Callithrix jacchus: one gene and its partners. Each later gene encodes a partner of the first gene's protein in a complex. Links are inferred from orthologs where the notes say so. Each region holds a gene or a part of one and is shown in the gene's direction. Other genes may lie near its edges. The genes, in order: WASHC5, WASHC4 and WASHC3.

Region 1 (3,653 bases):
TCCTGCATCTTCTGTGAGTCTTCTCTTAACATCTGATAATCTGAGATCATCAGCAGCCCATTCTCACACATCCCTTAAACCCAGGGCATTGTCAGTTGTTGTGAGAGACAGAGTTAAATGAAACACAACTGCTCTCCTCAGAAAGCAACTCACAATCTAGTAGAAAAGAGTAGACTTCCAGGTGGAAAACTGATTTGCAGTTAAAAGTATCACATACTGTAGAAAAGTCTAGAATTTTGGAATGCTAAGGGAATTTTGAAAAGTTCCATTCTCTGATTCCCAGTTATGTAAGTTTCATTGAGACAGCACTCGTTGATACCTCAGCCACATTCACAGTATGTTTCCCATAATTTTGGTGAGTAGTTGTAGCTGTTGTTGCTGTTGTTTGGATCACTAAACAGAACGGGTAAGGCAAGGAGCCGTGGCTCTGCTCGATGTCCTCTGGTGATGTGAGTCTGCCTTCCCCTCGCCTCATGATTGTCACATCCCAGGCCAAGTTTCTAATTGCTGGAAAACCTTTTAGGAGGAATAAAAAATCACTTATGTTTGGACAGTTGTGAGTCCCAACTCTGTAGGAGACATTGGGGGAATTACAGGGATTCTTCCAAGAAACTGGAAGGTTTTTCCCTTGTCCACCAGAGGGTTCTCTCAGTCCAGTAGCTGTTACAGACCCTAATTAGTTATAGTTGCCAGTATTAGTATCGGCCACGTGACTGTGTCTGAGTCAGTGATCTTTAAATAAAGGCCCCAAGGACAAATTTGTATTTTTGTCTTGAATTAGGGTGCTTGCAGTCACTGAGCCAGTGTTAATGATCAGAAACGACAGTGGAAATGTTCTGTGCTATTTGATGATGACAGCAGTTCCCAGCCCTGTCTAGCTGTTGAGCTTGTGAAATGTGGGTTGTGGGACTGGGAAACATAATTTTAAATTTTATTTCATATTAATTAGATGTAAATAGCCACATGTGACTAGTAGCTGCTATACTCAACAGTGCAACTCTAAAAAAGTCTTGGAGAAAGTATGGTAAGCCAGATATCTTCAAAGAGGCAAGTGAGTGGGTAAAATAAGTTTCTCGTCCATCCCAGGCTCCTTAGCCTCTCCAGCAGCTTATTAAAGCTTGAAGTTTGTGAGTATCAAAAATGGAAAATGTCACTCACAAAGACTGATTGTGAGTTAAATGAGAGGAAGTTATATTAAACTGACTTTATTTCTATTTCCAGTTCTAGATTGATATTTTCAAGAGGATCCCTGACATAGAGTATACTAGACATAGAAAATTAAGCAAAGAATGATATGGGCTAGATACAGGGTTTCTGGGTCATTTTTACATGGCCTGAAAGAACCTACTATTTTCTTGGCTTTGCTGCATTCTGATTTTTAAATAATGCTACTCTATAAATTTAAAGACTTCTTATTTATAAATAGCATTTTTGGATTGACTTTTTTCATATAAGTAGAATAAAATATATGAATAGTGTTGAAAAATAATACATCTGAGGTCATTTAACACTTTTGACCATTACAAGCTCCATTCAGCTAAATAACTTTTGTTCACTCTTAGAGAAGGCCACTCTCTTTTTCTTTTTTTGAAACAGTCTTGCTCTGTGACCCAGGCTGGAGTGCAGTGGCACAATCTTGGCTCACTGGAACCTCTACCTCCTGGGTTCAAACAATCCCGAGTACCTGGGATTATAGGCACCCACCACCGCACCCAGCTAATTTTTATAATTTTAGTAGAGAAGGGGTTTCACCATTTAGGTCAGGCTTTGTCTCGAACTCCTGGCCTCAGGTGATCAGCCTGCCTAGCTTCCCAAAGTGCTGGGATTACAGGCCTTAGCCACTGTCTTTTCCTTAACTCTTCTCTGCCCCCAGCAACTCAGAGGAAATTGTTGATTTCCACCTTATTGTGCTTGCATGGTAATATTGGCTTCCCCCCTTGCCCCTACTCCCTCACTCCCCTTTGCCAGTCTTTTAGGAATACCTTGTCTAGTGTAGAAAATAAGACATTTATAGGCAGAAAAAGTTAGAGTATGCTATTGACCTTATGATGTAGACAACATTATGAGGTCAAACTGAACTCTCTCAAGCCTGACCCAAAGATTGCTTCCTATCATCCAACCATTGTAGATAATCTCCAGATATCATTTATGCTCATAGCTACTTTTAAATTACCATAGTTAATCCACCATATTAGCATAATTCTATATCACAGATTTGTTTTTTGAATGGTTAATTATATTTTATTACAATTGGCTTCCACTGTTACCCTCTATGCTTTATTTTGTACATTCAAAAGCATTATTCTGAAATGGTATCCATAGGCTTCACCAGATTCCCAAAGGGGCCCAAGGCTATATTAGTCAATTGTCACATAATAAAGACATACTCAAGACTGAGTAACTTATTAAGGAAAGAGGTTTAATTGACTCACAGTTCAGCATGGCTCCGGAGGCCTCAGGAAACTTACAGCCATCGTGGAAGGGGAAGCAAATATGTCCTTCTTCACATGGCAGCAGGAAAGAGAAGTATGAGCAATAGGAGAAAAGCCCCTTATAAAACCATCAGATCTTATGAGAACTCACTATCATGAGAACAGTATGGAGGTAACTGCCCCCATGATTCAATTACCTCCCACTGGGTCCCTCCCACAACACATAGGGATTATGGGAACTACAATTCAAGATGAGATTTGGGTGGGGACATAGCCAAACCATATCAGATATAAAATGTAAGAACTCCTGGATTAAGGGGCTATCATTGTTAAAATTTTCATGAAAGATTTTATGTAGATTATTTTGTAATCCAGGTAATTATATAACCTATAATCCTGAGTGGCATGGACAGACTTAATATTCACCCAATTTGAGAATACTAAGGTCTAGTGGCATTCTTAGGACTTGAAAAAGTTCCATTTAGGGTAAATAAAAGGAAGTAAGGTTTCTCACAGCAGCTACTAAACCCGGAGCACTTATTCCAAAAGTCAAAAATACAGCTTCAAAAAAGACACCTTTGATACATGAACAACTGAACATTAATAGATCACTTTGTTAATCATAGACTTTCGGGGTATGACTCCCATAGGTTGGGGTATGGGAGTCCATCCAGACATTCCTTGAAGGGCCTCTGGTGCTCCATCAGGTCCAGTACTAGTCTTAGCCAAGAGATTAGTCCAGGAAATCCTTATTTTTTTTCCTGTAGAGTGTTGTGAAGGCCCAGAGAAGAATTGCCATCTTTGTGTTTACCTCCTCAGTCACTCTGAAATGCTTGAATATTCTACCTATTCTTTCTCTTGCTTGTGCACAGGTTGGGCAGATGCAGATTCTGAGACAACAGATTGCCAATGAATTAAATTATTCTTGTCGGTTTGACTCTAAACATCTGGCAGCTGCTCTGGAGAATCTCAATAAGTAAGTGCCAGGGTTTGAAACAGCCATCTGTGGGCTTGGATTGTTCATCATCTAAGCACATTTCTTACTCTTTTAAGTTACTTTTAGGTGAGAGGTCTGAATTTATAGGCTTCCTTGCCAATGGATAATCAAATCTGTCTTCCGGAGCCTCTTTCCTCATTATTGTCCCCTCCGTGTATCTCTGTATCTCACTCACTTTCTCTAATGGATTTGTTTTTCAGCTGACATTTACTGATCACATGATT
Region 2 (3,653 bases), on another chromosome or scaffold:
TCTTGTTTTATTTTTATTTTGACCCTTTAACTACAATCTTATTAAATTTGTGACTGTATAGAAAATTAAAAAATGGGCTGGGCACGGTGGCTCACGCCTGTAATTCCATCACTTTGGGAGGCTGAGGCAGGTGGAACAGGAGGTCAGGAGTTCAATATCAGTCTGGCCAAGATGGTGATACCTTGTCTCTACTAAAAATACAAAAATTAGCCAGGTGTGGTGGCACATGCCTGTAATCCCAGCTACTCAGGAGGCCGAGGTGGAGAATTGCTTAAAACCTGGGAGGCGGAGGTTGCAGTGAGCCAAGATTGCGCCACTGCACTCCAGGCTGGGTGACAGAGTGAGACTTGGTCTCAAAAGAAAAAAAAAATTTAAAAATGATGAGTGGTTTTTCCTCATGATCATAACTAATGGAGTTTAGTAATGTTAGTATTATCTTACTACCTTGCATTTTCTTATACTGCACTCATAATCAGCCACCTTATGCTCTGTAGGACAACTAGAGTTGTAGCAACATGATTGAGTCATACTGGGTCATTTCTTTCCTTATGTGTCGTCTAATGAGATTGTGTTGGATGAAGTAGTTGTTATGGTGCTAATGTTGAGTACAGGATCTAAACAGGTTTAAGTAGAATAAAGCTAATTTCAATTTGTGTATTTAAAATTTCGGTTATTTTTCAAATTAAAAAGAAATGTTCTTTTCTTTTGTTTCTATAGCTTTTGCCTTATGAACAGTCTTCTCTTTTGGAACTCATAAAGACTGAAAACAAGGTACAGAATCCTAAATCTAAAAATGTATTTGAAAAAGGTTTTAGTTATGTTACAATTTACTTTTTATTTTGTTTTTACTCATGAAACTAGGTCTTAAACAAAGTCATCACTGTTTATGCTGCACTTTGTTGTGAAATCAAGAAATTAAAATATGAGGTAATTATTTGAATTCTTGTCTTAAAACTTTAAAAACAGATAATTTAGAAGCAAGTATATATTTTTATATATACAGTGTGCAATAAATATTTATTGAATGTTGAATGAATTATTTATTTAATATAATACTAATACTGACTACCATTCATTAAGTACATAGTATGTGCAAAACACCAGGATAACACTATATTCCTTTAGTAACCCCAGGAGGTAGGTGAGACATTGATGATGACAGGCTTAAAGAGAGTGCCACTTGCCTAACATCTTACTGGTAATTAACAGTTTGAATCTAGGTTTACAAACCTCCATAGTCTGTGTTACCTGCCATATATACTGGCTATGTAGAGAAAACTGATTTTTTTTTAAAGCTTTCAGTCTTTAGTATGCATTTAGTTTGGTGTTTCCTTACCCAAGAACCAATGAAACTCTGGTAGAAGTTGGCAAACTTCATATTTTATTCTCTTGCTTTTTGATGCTGTGCGGTTGCTCTGTATTTCCCATGAACTAATGAGAGGATGTTGGACAGTGAGAGTGGTCAGGTAAGATGAAGTAAAGGCTAAAGGAATCAAGATACAGCTTTGAGTATCAGTAATATTTTTGTTACTCTAAAGATGAATTGCTTCATAAGCAGTTTTTGAATTTAAATGAATTTGTATGTAAATGATGTAGTCCTCTGTTTATTACTAAATATGCAGATCTAAGAGAGCATAGGAATTTCAAAACAAAACAACCTTTAAAATTATTTTAATTTTTTCTTAAAAACAGGCTGAAACTAAATTTTACAATGGTCTCTTGTTTTATGGAGAAGGAGGTAAGTTTAAAATTCAAAATTGTAATGTGATGCCTTTTTTGATAATGAAATGAAAAAAAAATTAACAGACAATTTCAGGACTACTATGATTATATATTAGTGTGAGAAAATAAACATTTGTATTTTTTGTTGGTATGTTTGTTTGGTAAATGGGTAAAAAAATCTGATGGAACAGCAGAAAATTTGTGATATATTTGTATGTTATAAAGTACCATAGCTAGATGATAATTTTCCTTGAATTCATTAGTTAAGCAAATACTTTTAATTATTTGATTAGTGATTGCCTCATTTTTCTCTTTGGTGTAAAAATTCTGTTTTCAATATTCTGTGGAGTAAAAGATGTGTCAATGGAAAAAAAAATCACTTTTTTCTCCTTTTTTGGTGTTGATTGAGTTTAAATTTAAAAAATGAAATACACTTATTCATATTGCCTTTTACAGCTACGGATGCCAGCATGGTGGAAGGTGATTGTCAAATTCAAATGGGGCGATTTATTTCATTCTTACAGGTAACTGATTTTTACTTTCTACTGAGCTTTTACATTGAAGTTTAAGTAAATTACACAACACTTAAAAAGTTCTGAACCTTTCAAATACTAAAGATGTGTACTTTGAGGATAAGACACTTAATTAGCGTTGCATTATAGTTGGGGAGATCGCAACTCCTAAAAGATTTCCACATATTTCTAGTGGAAAAAGACTATCAAAATAGGTTTCTTTGTATATTTTCCTTTATGGACAACTTGTCCCCATGCCTTTCAAAATAATTTAAACTTTGTACCCACTGGAAAAGATAAATTACATCAAGAAAACTTGTTAATGGAGAAGATTAAGCTGTTACATGAGCAATGATGAAGTTTTTAAAGTGGTAGCCCTCGATGCTTCTAACAGCTTGTTTCAGTTTAGACAGCTTTTCGTCACTGCCAAGTTTTAGTGATTGTACGTCCTTTGGCTTACTCTTGATCAAACGAATAAAATAGCTTCTATTTCCTCCTCTCTTTATTTTAAAAATAATGCATGGGCCGGGCACGGTGGCTCAAGCCTGTAATCCCAGCACTTTGGGAGGCCGAGGTGTGTGGATCACGAGGTCAAGAGATCGAGACCATCCTGGTCAACATGGTGAAACCCCGTCTCTATTAAAAATACAAAAAATTAGCTGGGCACGGTGGCGCGTGCCTGTAATCCCAGCTACTTAGGAGGCTGAGGCAGGAGAATTGCCTGAACCCAGGAAGCGGAGGTTGCGGTGAGCCGAGATCGCGCCATTGCACTCCAGCCTGGGTAACAAGAGCGACACTCCGTCTTTAAAAAAAATAATAATGCATGTACAATGTGAAAAAAAAGCAAAAATTGAAGCTAAGGAAAAAATACTCATAGTCCCACCTCTAGTCTGATTGGTTACAAAATTTGTATTTCATCAAATCAGGCATGTTAACATGTACTGTTCAAATCTTTTATATCTTTACTACTTTTTTTTTTTGGTCTATTTGATCTAATTGAGAGCATTTTGTTGATATTATGATCTGTGTTATTCAGGGTCCTGTCTAGAAAACTCCATACAAGGTATTTCAAAAGATGTAGCTTGGAGGATACAAAATAGCAAATATGTAAGATGACTAAGTCTAGAGATCTAATGTACAACATGAGGATTACAGGTAATAAAGCTACCATATATGGGATTCATGCTGAGTGAGTAGATTTTAACTGCTTTTGCCACAAAAAAATGATTTAGCTATGTGAGATGATGGATTTGTTCATGTGCTTCACTAGTAACCTTTTTATTATCAGTATGTGTCCCATAACATGTTGTATACCTTAAATATACACAATAACATTTATTTAAATAAGAGAGGGGATTCAGTATAGAGAATTGGTTACCCAGGAGTTGGAGGACAAAGAAAATACTGACGTAGTCCAAA
Region 3 (4,081 bases), on another chromosome or scaffold:
GATTGGTTGTTTTTCACAACCAATCAGACTGATTGTGGGTCACCACTTCATTTACATGAGGAGAACAACAAGTGGACAACGGGAAACCTCTAGCGGATATTTAAACAGAAGATTCTGTATCCAGACCCTTGAGCTCCCACCTGCTCCCACACTGTGCAGTGTACTTTTGTTTTCAATAAATCTCTGCTTTTTTGGTTCATTCTTTCCTTGCTTGGTGCGTTTTGTCCAATTCTTTGTTCAAAGCATCAAGAACCTGGATACCCACCACCAGTAACACTCCCACCTCATTTCCTACCATTCTCCATTTATGGGATCATTTGCTTCAACCAAACCAAGAGCGCCAGGTGCTGGTGGCTCATTAGAGTCACCAAATAATAATCCCACTGCTTAGGGATCGTTTGAGTCAAGGAATTTGAGGCTACCGTGAACTATGATCCTCACGGCACTCCAGCCTGGGCAACAGAGCAAGACTCCACCTCCCTGCATCTTTAAAACAAAACTGCCCACTTCGGTCCATGTCTTCATCTTTTTGATGCTCATCTTTTAAAAACCTTTGGAAGACTAGGTTTGGTGGTTTACACCTGTAATCCTAGCGCTCTGGGAGGCTGAGGCAGGAGAATCGCTTGAGGCCAGGAGTTTGAGACCAGCCTGGGTAAATAGCGAGAACTAGTGTATACACACACACAAACACACACACAGACACACACACACACACACAAACACACTTTAGAAGTACGTCTTATATCTCGTTCTTCAGAGCATAAACCTTGCCAGTGCAGCAATCGAACTCAATCTTTGTTTTCCCAGCAAGGCCTAGCTAGCAGAGTATATGGCACTTAGGATTTTTTTAAAAATTGTTGCTCAAGGAATGACGGAGCTGTTATATAACAGAACTAAGTAGGGATAACCTCAAAAGGACCCGCAATTTCTGGCTTTTTTGTTTATTTGTTTTTACCCGCCTCTAAGATTTTACTGCTATAACTGCATCCTTGCACCATCACGCACCACCCCGAAATTAACGTCACCATCTGGACTTAAACTACCAATCCCAGAATGCCTAGCGAGGAGGCGGGCTCTCCGGAAGCCCCGAGTGATTGGTGGGCGGCGGCGTTTTCTTCCGCCGGGAAGGGCCCCGGAGGCGGGGATTTGTGGGGGACAGTTGAGACACGATTACCAGGTTGGGCGGTCACCATCTGGGCGGGGTTTGTGGGTGAACTCTGGGTCCCCCGCCCGCTGAGGAGATGGATGAGGATGGGCTTCCTCTCATGGGGTCAGGCATAGACCTGACCAAGGTTTGTAAAAGACGGTGCTAAACTTCCGGCCACCCGGGAGGAGGTTGGGGAAGACGCCGCTTCCCGGGGAGACCCCACCTTCCCGGGCCCCACCCTGTCCCGACCCCAGGCCCTTCTGCCGGCCTCAGGAGGGAGAGCCCCACCGTCTACCTTGAAATAGGGTCCCTCCTGAGCTGATTAAGGAGAAGGTGTGCATCTCCCAACTTTCGCTTCCGGTGTCGGGGGTCTCTAGGTGCCACCGGCGACACAAGCCGGTTGTGATCGCTAGCCCTACCTCTTATTCAGCCCCAAGTTTTTATGTGTGTTTATGTGTGTGGCTTTTGCCTGCTAAAATTCATACTAGTGACGCTAGAGCCTGGTCTCAAACTTTAGTGCATTCTCTGTCATCTTCGGACACCCCACCTACGGTTTAGGACAACAAGTTAATGACTATTCACAGTCTTTCAAGAAATTCATCTCACACAGCAAAGTGCCTCGTGATTATGTCCAGATATTAAAAGGTTTGCACAGTGTACGTTCCTCCTGTATGAATCATGTTTGTTTTTACGTAACACAGGTGCCAGCTATTCAACAGAAAAGAACAGTGGCTTTTCTAAACCAATTTGTGGTGCACACTGTACAGTTCCTCAACCGCTTTTCTACAGTTTGTGAGGAGGTAGGTCCTGTGATACTGGTTTATAGAGTCGCCTAGAAATCACGTTGCACTGCTGAGATTGACAAATGGAGTAAAACAAGAATTACAGTCTTTATTCGTGTACCATGATCTCTTGTCACCAATTGTGTTAACACACCTTAAGTCCTCTTTTCTCTGATTTCTTGCACCCCCTCCTCTAGTGAATTAGTGTTCTAGAAGTCCTCATGAGATAGTTCAGTCAGGCTTATTGCAATTAAAGAGAACAAAAGGAAATCTAAAATTTCTTTCTTTTTTTTTTTTTTTGAGACGGAGTCTCACTCTATCGCCCAGGCTAGAGTGCAGTGGCGCGATCTCGGCTCACTGCAACCTCCACCTCCCGAGTTCAAGCAATTCTCCTGCCTCAGCCTCCCAAGTAGCAGTATTACAAGCATGCACCACCTCTCCTGGTTAATTTTTTGTATTTAGTAGAAACGGGGTTTCACCATGTTGGCTGGGCTGGTTTCGAACTCCTGATCTCAGGTGATCCACCCGCCTCGGCCTCTCAAAGTGCTGGGATTACGGGTGTGAGCGACCGCGCCCAGCCTCTAAAATTTCACAGTTGAAAATAGTTTTTATTTTGAAATTCCTTCTCCTACCCCAGAAATGCATTGTTTTTATTAAAATTATTTTACATTCTAATCTAAAAGATGGCTAGAGGATATAGCCTAGGACTTTGGCATCAAATATGATTATAGAAATAAAAATATTTTCTGTGAATGACTTGTGATGTAAGGATTAAGTACCCAACTAGGGATCAGGTACCAGAACTGGCACAGCAGTGTGCACCTGTAATCCCAGCTGTTCAGGAGGCAGAGGCAGGAGGATCACTTGCACCCGAGAGTTTGAGACCACCCAGGAGTTTGCGTGAATAGTTTTACAAATGAATGTTTCTGTGGGAGAATGAGTGCTGGGAAGTCCTATTCCCCCATCTTGCTGTTGTCCCACCTTTTTCTCCTTTATGTATGATAATCTAAGGTTGACTGTAACTCATTTTCTACAATATATATTTAGGCAATTTGGACATTCGTGTCAGCTGGAGACTGCTCAATGACATGACAACTAATATTTATTGTGTACTTACTCTGTGCCGGACATCATACTAAGTGCTTTATGTGTATTTAATTATCAGAGTCAGCCCTTTGAGAGAGGATTGGTTATCCTACTCGTGCAGATACAGAAACTAAAATGCAGAGAAGTTTAAATCATTTGCTTGGTCATTCATTTATTCAACATATCTTTGTGTGCCCCCAGTAGTTAGTTGTAGCTGCATTCACTACACATACACAGAACGTAGCAGAACTGGATTCCAACTGATTTTTTAACTGGAAAAGTCTGTATCTCATTACTTTCTTACATTGCACTGCCTTATCTGAATAAGAAGCATGTTTATGTAATTTTCGAGTGAGAGAGTACAGTACCAGTACCTTCTTATAGATATATTAAAATCTGTTTTTAGATTCATATTCACTTCTTTGCTGTGCCATGTCTGTTTGATGTAATATTTTTTATGTAAATTCCAAGGATATGTGTATTCAAATGTGAGGTGCCATTTTCTCCCAAGTTAAAGTCACTTCAGTGTTTTGAAATGTTTTTTGTTAATGGCCTCTAGTCCTTGTTTATTTAAAGCCTTAAACAAGAACCAAACTGACTGTTTCTCTCAACAAAAGAGGAATCTCAATTGTTAGTTTTTAAACTGAAAGTGAACTGGGAGGAAAAAGGAAACTTTTTCCACCCGCCACAGGATCTGGTCTGAACCAAACCCAAACTTAAGCAACTTTAGTCACAGATAAACTCTCAAGCCAGAATTAAGTTTGAAACAAATTGCTAGGCTTCTTTCCTCATCAGTGACACTGTTTTTAGAGTTCTTCACTAAAGAGAAGAGTATAAACTGCATTCTGTGAAGAACTCAACTTTTCAAACACTTTCTGCCTATTAGGCTACTTTTATAACTCTTCCATTGATTGGCACCAGAGTAGAAGAGAGATTAGATGACAGAGAAAGTAGTAGAATCAGACCCAAGTTACAGGGGTACTTAGGGTCATCTCCTCTTCCTTCACAAATCCCCAGTGAGCATTTTTATTCTTGCTTTAGTCAGCAGAATCTTATGGTCATCCAT

What was found.
Region 2: WASHC5 (region 1) and WASHC4 share a complex: the UniProt entries of both Homo sapiens proteins name them as parts of the WASH core complex. The link is inferred for Callithrix jacchus from reciprocal best matches to the Homo sapiens genes WASHC5 and WASHC4.
Region 3: WASHC5 (region 1) and WASHC3 share a complex: the UniProt entries of both Homo sapiens proteins name them as parts of the WASH core complex. The link is inferred for Callithrix jacchus from reciprocal best matches to the Homo sapiens genes WASHC5 and WASHC3.

The regions. Positions count from the first base shown.
Region 1 is NC_133517.1:72,328,064-72,331,716, forward strand, and holds part of WASHC5 (WASH complex subunit 5), read left to right. Parts: intron 1-3,304; coding exon 3,305-3,408; intron 3,409-3,653. UniProt on the Homo sapiens protein: Acts as a component of the WASH core complex that functions as a nucleation-promoting factor (NPF) at the surface of endosomes, where it recruits and activates the Arp2/3 complex to induce actin polymerization, playing a key role in the fission of tubules that serve as transport intermediates during endosome sorting.
Region 2 is NC_133510.1:108,059,912-108,063,564, forward strand, and holds part of WASHC4 (WASH complex subunit 4), read left to right. Parts: intron 1-717; coding exon 718-771; intron 772-861; coding exon 862-927; intron 928-1,692; coding exon 1,693-1,738; intron 1,739-2,178; coding exon 2,179-2,246; intron 2,247-3,219; exon of another isoform or gene 3,220-3,389; intron 3,390-3,653. UniProt on the Homo sapiens protein: Acts as a component of the WASH core complex that functions as a nucleation-promoting factor (NPF) at the surface of endosomes, where it recruits and activates the Arp2/3 complex to induce actin polymerization, playing a key role in the fission of tubules that serve as transport intermediates during endosome sorting.
Region 3 is NC_133510.1:105,101,414-105,105,494, reverse strand, and holds the start of WASHC3 (WASH complex subunit 3), read left to right. Parts: upstream 1-1,161; 5' UTR 1,162-1,241; coding exon 1,242-1,292; intron 1,293-1,848; coding exon 1,849-1,947; intron 1,948-4,081. UniProt on the Homo sapiens protein: Acts as a component of the WASH core complex that functions as a nucleation-promoting factor (NPF) at the surface of endosomes, where it recruits and activates the Arp2/3 complex to induce actin polymerization, playing a key role in the fission of tubules that serve as transport intermediates during endosome sorting.